Saccharomyces cerevisiae S288C: one gene and its partner. Changing the gene in region 1 together with any one later gene gives a genetic interaction. Each region holds a gene or a part of one and is shown on either strand. Other genes may lie near its edges.

Evidence for each region. A genetic interaction does not mean that the proteins touch.
Region 2: mutations in TPM1 (region 1) and CHS7 together harm fitness more than expected from each alone (negative genetic interaction), as found in Saccharomyces cerevisiae (5 studies listed by BioGRID, with this or other methods).

The regions. Positions count from the first base shown.
Region 1 is NC_001146.8:476,980-481,362, reverse strand, and holds TPM1 (tropomyosin TPM1), read left to right. Parts: upstream 1-2,197; coding exon 2,198-2,797; downstream 2,798-4,383. Other genes in the region: NIS1 (Nis1p), read right to left, coding at 372-1,595; EOS1 (Eos1p), read left to right, coding at 3,331-4,383.
Region 2 is NC_001140.6:381,789-384,988, reverse strand, and holds CHS7 (Chs7p), read right to left. Parts: upstream 1,452-3,200; coding exon 501-1,451; downstream 1-500. Other genes in the region: 60S ribosomal protein eL42 RPL42B, read left to right, coding at 2,238-2,241, 2,683-2,999. UniProt on the Saccharomyces cerevisiae protein: Chaperone required for the export of the chitin synthase CHS3 from the endoplasmic reticulum.

The sequences.
Region 1 (4,383 bases):
AAAAGAAAAATGTGTTTTACTTTATCGTAGGTACAGTACGGCTCGTGTTGTTTAGAGAAATAATCACTGTATCGTGAGGTTGGTTTATTACCGATATAAACTGTTTGATGAATGTTGAATACTATTATAATCTATTCCTATCAGTATATAAAAGCGTTCAAACGATTTCACATACTTGTGGGAACGAAGAACGCGTCATTACCTTTTTAGTCTACAGATTCGATGCTCCAGTCATTTTTTTCCTTTATTTTCCGTAATGTTCTAGAAGAAATCGAGCGGGGGAAAAAGATACATAGAAGGATAATGTGATTAAATAAAGTTTGATGTCTAAGGCTATGCAATGGCTATGCAATCCAGGGGGGGTTACCTACTTAAAAGGGGTCGCTACTAAGTATACTATCGTCTTGACTGTCGGGTATAATTATAGGATTGCTTTTGGTCTCACCTGCCATCTGGAAGAGACTTGAAGGAGTAGATAAAAGGGACATGTCTAAGTCGCTGGCGTTAGAAGAGCAGACAGAGCTTTCATTCGATGCTGAACCCGGAGAGCAAAGCAAAGTCAGGCGCAGTTGCGTCCTCTGTGTTATAACCAGCATTAAGTATTCTCTCCACAGTTCCAACAGCAGTTGCTCCTTTCTTGCATGCGATTTGGTGTTCAATTTTCCTCTTCTTTTTGGGTGGTACAACACACTAGGGGAAGTATTGGACCGCCCCACATTCTTGTTATAAACAGATCTTGTGGTTGGGGTCGTTGAATTCTGTTTAATTGTTTTCGTCGCCGTCGCAGGCATAGTCGTCGGGAGACTACCTGGTTGTGATTTGGGTAGTTTCCTACTTATGGAGCGGTTCCTTAGATACGGTGGACGACTACTGGTTGCATACATCTGGCTTCTTAAAAATGGGATAGGAGTTACCGCAGGGTCCCTGCTAGTGAGATTTCTGATAGCGTGTAAGTTTACCGGTTGCGAAGCCAGGACATTTGCAATATCCATTTGTTCCAGTTCTATATAGTTCAAAACGGATGTCAGCTCCTTCTTGCTCCTGAATCTTGACCGTACCTTTGCTTGCCTGTCTTCCCTGCGTATGGAGTGTTGCCTCTTCAAAAACCCTTTGTGAAAAATGAAATTATGATTCTTGCTGAACTTGGAGAGTTCATTTTTGCTGGTAAAGTCTGTTCTTCGTTGTGAAGTGTGTCGAATTGGCTTTGCGTTTATGGTAGGAGAGCGAGACCTCATCTTATAATTCGACCATTGCGTAAACTGTTCCATCACTTCAGTGCTTTCAACCTGGTCCGCTTTGCTTATGTTACGGTTCCTCAAGTGCGAAGCATCGTGGTACTCCATATATGGTTTGAAGCTGTCGTGTGTTATATGAGAGTCATCCGATATTTGCACTATAGGAATCTTGGTATCTGAATTTGAATTTGTGTTCGAATTTGTGTTCGAATTTGTGTTCGAGTTCGAGTTCGAGTTCGATGTAGAATCCACAAGCGCATGTATATAACCTGAAGTGGTAAACCCACCGGTACCCAGGGGAGGTGGGAACAAAGTCGGGGGATAAGACTGAGTCCCAATGCTAGTCTCGTATGTCTCCATTGTCTGTATGGTTGTATTTCAAGACGTATCTGCAAGAAAACTGATGTTTGCGAGTTAGGAACAGGGAAAAATACATGAATTAAGAAATACGAACGATCTTAACTATTTTCAACAGTACCTGAAACATGGATGTAAAAACGTAGAAGATACCCGAATAAAGTGGGGCGCACACCGGACTTGAAACCACTCCTCCTTTACCAAGCACTAATTTAAGCTAATCTAATTTAACGCAGTACATTTTGTATGCGCGGCAGCAGCTTAATACATTGCTGTCATTCACTAATGGAAAAAAAAAAAAAAAAAAAAAATCAAAATATAAAAATAAATATTAAGAACTTAAAAAGACAAACCAGCCATCGCGTGGCGCTAGCACATATATCTTACCCGACGGAGAGCCGGGTAAAGAAGTCGGGTAACCATTAAAATAAAAAATCAGCACACCATAGCACGATCTACGAGAAACGGAAAAGTGTTAGAGATCACATACTGCATACTTGGCAAGAAGAAGGTTCGTTTTTCCCTTCTGATACTGTAAAAGATTAGGTTGGTAGAAGAAATCTACATAGTAGAACTCACACCCCATACACACAAAAAAGGCAACAATGGACAAAATCAGAGAAAAGCTAAGCAACTTGAAGTTGGAAGCCGAATCATGGCAGGAGAAGTACGAGGAGTTGAAAGAGAAGAACAAGGACTTGGAGCAAGAGAACGTCGAAAAGGAGAATCAGATCAAGTCTTTAACCGTCAAAAACCAGCAATTGGAGGATGAGATCGAGAAGCTGGAAGCGGGACTTTCTGACTCTAAGCAAACAGAACAGGATAACGTTGAAAAAGAAAATCAGATCAAGTCCTTGACGGTGAAGAACCACCAATTGGAGGAAGAGATCGAGAAGTTGGAAGCAGAATTGGCTGAATCCAAGCAATTGTCCGAGGACTCTCACCACTTGCAGTCCAACAACGACAATTTCTCCAAGAAGAACCAGCAATTGGAAGAAGACTTGGAGGAAAGCGACACCAAGCTAAAGGAAACCACTGAGAAATTGAGAGAGTCCGACTTGAAGGCAGATCAATTGGAAAGAAGAGTAGCTGCCTTGGAAGAACAAAGAGAAGAATGGGAAAGAAAGAACGAGGAATTGACCGTCAAGTACGAAGACGCAAAGAAGGAACTGGACGAAATTGCTGCATCTCTGGAAAACTTGTGATCTACTTTTGTTTTTTGTTTTCTTTTTCTTTTCCCCAACACGCTGGTCTTTGTTCCTTGTTCTTGAGCAAATCAAACGCTCATGGGCAAACGAAACTAAAATAAGAACCATTTATACAAATACAATAGCTTAGACTATACATCTGTATACTTTTCCCTTGAAGATGTTTTTGTTCTTTACCGTTTGCGTGCTGATTTATGATGTTTTTACATTGGGCGTTATTACCCGAGCGGCGTTTTGTTCGTGGGACTCACACTTGTGCCTGCTCCCATGTTAAGTTTTGCACGGTTTATCACATGGACAAAGGCATTCTCATATTACACAGCTACATGTGATATATATCGGGCGTTTCCACGTGTACAAGAACCTGAAAAGTTTATCGGAAGACTAAGTTTTGGGTTGCCCACCGTCTGTGCATCTACGTGAACACACCAGGGTTTCTCATTTCTTTTTTCTTTAAGTTTTTTTTCTCTTCCCTTCCCTTCCTTTGGTCAAATAATCTTATTTGATTCTTCAGGGTTTTAAAAAACCAGATGACGTGGATACTAAGTACTGGTATGGGCCCTCATGAGGACAAGTATGCCAAGCATGAGCGAGCGACCTTTAAAAAGACGTACAGTTCTATGAAAACGCTGTCTTTGAATCATTTAACTGCCAAGCAGCATATGCTGATGGCCTTATGCAGGGACATATCCCTTTTACCGCCGTTAACTTACATCTTCACATCTCTGCGGAAGGCTTGGAGAGTCTCCATGCGCACCAGCATAACGCTTTACGAGCCACAATCACTAAGAGATGCGTTCACTTATTTCTGGCAAAAACTCAATAGCGCTTACGACAATAACTCATCATTTGAAGGAGCTTCGCAAAAGGCTGTGAATGGCGACGGTAAGGATTCACTCCTATTATCCGCACTCACTACAGCAAGAGCGTCTGAATATCTCCTTTGCTCACTTTGGTGCCTGGTGTCTTTATACCTCTCGTATGCCATTCTCGACTCTTTGATGGTCCGATGGATCGTCAAGTACTCTACTGTGGCCGCCATTTTAAGAATGTTTTCCATGTCATTGATCATTGTCACCTTAGAACTCCTTCTTTTGTCGTCTTTGTCTCCGGAACTCGACTATTTTTTGCATACATGGATACTCATTAGTTGTGTACTAACAGCAGTGTACATTTGGCAAAGTTATCTTACCTCGGATCTGAGGTATATCAGGAACCAGGAAGGCGAAGTACAAGAGGATACTAATGTTCCAGAAGAAACAGAAGACTATGAGGATGGTGAAGATGACGCTGATGAAGACTCACATGTTGTGGTAGCCGACGAAAGTACAGTAGATGTTCCTTCCAACGACAGTCTCTCCGATAACAGTGATGGCGGATTGTTTCCTGTTAACAGGCCCTCAGTCTCTCATTCACAAAGCCCTAAAAGACCCAAAAAATATCCAAAAAAAGCATTCAATTTTACCACTAAGCGAACGATAGATCTATATAAAATCACGGTTCTTTGTGTCGTCCCTGTGGGACTAGCTAGTTTTATCACCATGTTAGGTTTACTGCGAAACCTGTTCATCCAAAGATTGGAT
Region 2 (3,200 bases), on another chromosome or scaffold:
TCCTACAACTATCAAGCATTGTTCACAGTTCTCTTTTTTTTTTTCAGAATACATTATTTACTTTTCGCAAAGTATTTGTTTACATTCGGGCAGAACTGTAAACAGAAAAGAGACCAGCGGAAAGGCCTAAACCCGCAGCGTTGCGAAAATAAGATGATGCTTTTCGTAGAACCCTCTCATGGAAAAGTAGTCATGAACATATGAGCGACTTTAAAACATTGGAAACAGATTAAGAAGTTTTGTTTTCAATTGACTAAAGAAGGATAATTTGTCATCTTACTTAATAAACTACGGGAACGACCATCACGTTTCTTTTATGGATATGGTTGTTTCCGCTGATAAAAGAAGTCACTACGCTGATTGACTGTCAAAGTGTACACAAGCCGTTAAAACGTGGAAACGGCTACTTTCACTCTTTGGTTTGTCATAGTCCTGCTTATTACATTAAACTAATAGTATACACCTATTTTCTATATATGGTAATAGAAAAAAGAAGCATTTCACATAAATCCATTATCATACACCACGTCACCGTCCTTGCTAACACTTACACCAAATTCCAAGTCGTCGTCGGTAGTCATATCCCAAGTCTTGTAAACCATCATTAATGTGAACACATTACAGATGCTTCCAAAAAAGAGGCCATCTAAGTAGTGCTTGAACCCTTCACAAATTTGTGTAGAGAAGGCATAAACCAATACCTGGCCTGCTACAAAGAAAAATAGCCCCAAAAAGATAGCTCCTGTGACCCATAAGTTTCGAACTACCAATAGGGATACCAGTAATTGACAAATAACGAAAACGAATAAGAAAATGGCGTTTATTATGTAAACGACGACAATCATCCCTGAAGCGTTCATTGTTGCTACTTTATGGTCGGTGATCCATGCTTTGAAGGTTAAAATAGAGGCTAAAAAATTGGCTATGAATCCTAGCATGGACGTTCCACGGACCAACAGCATGGACTTTGTAGTCCCATCTTCCCATAAATTGAAACCTAAAAACCCGATTATCAATAAGGCCCAGCAACATGCACCCGCCAGTCCTATTTGTATAGCCACGAAGTATGGATATGACCCAGAGCCGGGGGGAGATACACCACAGTCTACCACCAAGGTAAATATTATCAATAGCAATGTTAGTTGGAAAAAGTAGAGATATTCAGACCTGCCAATAGCAGTATACTTCTGTCTTATGTTATAAAGTATGATTAAAATGACACCTAGAGCACCAATATTTATGAATGCGTTCCCGACATCAAAGATGACTGTATTGGCAAGATCAATCGACCGAGCATAACAGCGTGGCAGTACACCGACATTCAAATTTAAAGGATCAAAATCATGTATAATTGTTGAGTTCGAAAGTATTAGATGGGTTTTAGACTTTATTACCGAACATAATGGCAACGGGGTCTTTGAGCATATGGCAGCAAAATCACTAAATGCCATATTATATATATATCAGCTTTTGTATTAACAAAACCACAATTTTTGATAATAGTTTTGATGAAATAAACTTTCCACGTGGAGACAGCTTTGAAAAAACAGTTCAAAGTATGCCAGTGTAGCTTTGACTTTTTTTAATCTTTTTAGTTAAGTTATGCAATATGCTATTTTTATACCAAAATGGATCCTTTTTGATTTCGTGTCTTGTGAAACTTTTTCAATATTTAACCGTTTTAAGAAAGCGAAGCGGGCAACACCAGAAGAATGTCAATAACTTACTGTAACAACATAAAACATGGCATTTTAAATAGTACTGCCAAAATTTAATGCAATGGCAATTAGTTGGCTATGTTGCTACATATTATTTTCCATAGCATTCTCTGTCACAAACTTCAAAATAAAAGACAGTGACATCCGAACATCCGATACACCCATACATCATGAAAATAAATCCTGACATTGGAAGAAGTCTTGATACAAAAAAAGATCGCTGTCAAAAATGCGGCCAGACTGCCGCTGCATCGTACCAACAGTGCGTATGTTCAGACGGAGAGACGACCTCTAGAGAGACGTCCGTCGGTGCGGCAACGCTGACGGTTTAGTTGTTCGACGGGATGATGGGTTCCGCCAGGGGGAGGGAAGGCTTTCCACCAAGAGAGGTAAAATTATTCGTCGAAATGAACTCAGAGATACATCCATATTGTTGACAATGTATATCTTAATTGATGTGGTATTTTCACTGTTTTAACGTAAATTGAAGGAGATTAAGCAAAAAAACAATCAGTAATAATGGGTATGTGGACGATTAGGAATAGACAAACCATGTTATTTATCTCCATTAGGGCGTGAGAGTGTAATTAGTACACAGGTACTACTAGAATGCTAAAGAACTTTTTAAAATATCCTGAATCGTAGGGCAAATCCATGTCAAGCAAGAAACTAATAGTTATTAAACTTCATTTACTTTTGAGCTAGTTAAATATTTTCATCATTTCCTAAAGTACTGAACACCTGAATGATACTTTTATTGGCCCTTTTAATAAGAACTCTGGTTAGAAAATATATTGAGGATATCATTAGTAATACTCATTAGATATTTGTGAATTTAGCCGTTTCCCCATTACAGAAAAAAGATACAACTAATTACATGTGCAGTCAAATTACTTTTTTTTTAAGATCAATTACTAACAATCAACTATCATGCTAAATTTGCTGTGATATCATTTTGAACCAGTTAACGTCCCAAAGACCAGAAAGACCTACTGTAAGGGTAAGACCTGTCGTAAGCACACTCAACACAAGGTTACTCAATACAAAGCTGGTAAGGCTTCCTTGTTCGCTCAAGGTAAGAGACGTTATGACCGTAAACAATCTGGTTTCGGTGGTCAAACCAAGCCTGTTTTCCACAAGAAAGCTAAGACTACCAAGAAGGTTGTTTTGAGATTGGAATGTGTCAAATGTAAGACTAGAGCCCAATTAACCTTGAAGAGATGTAAGCACTTCGAATTGGGTGGTGAAAAGAAGCAAAAGGGTCAAGCTTTGCAATTCTGAGAGTTGTTATTGTTTATTGTTTTATTATATTTTTATAGTTATACTTTGACCATTAACTTTTTGTAAATTTTGCATACTTAACTCTTTAATATTGAAAACCTGCCTATTTGGCGTAATTTTTCATCCTGCCTTTGAACCTGTTGTAAACGTTCGCGTTGGCAACCATGATAAGTTAACAAGACACGTAGGCGTTCGCACTAA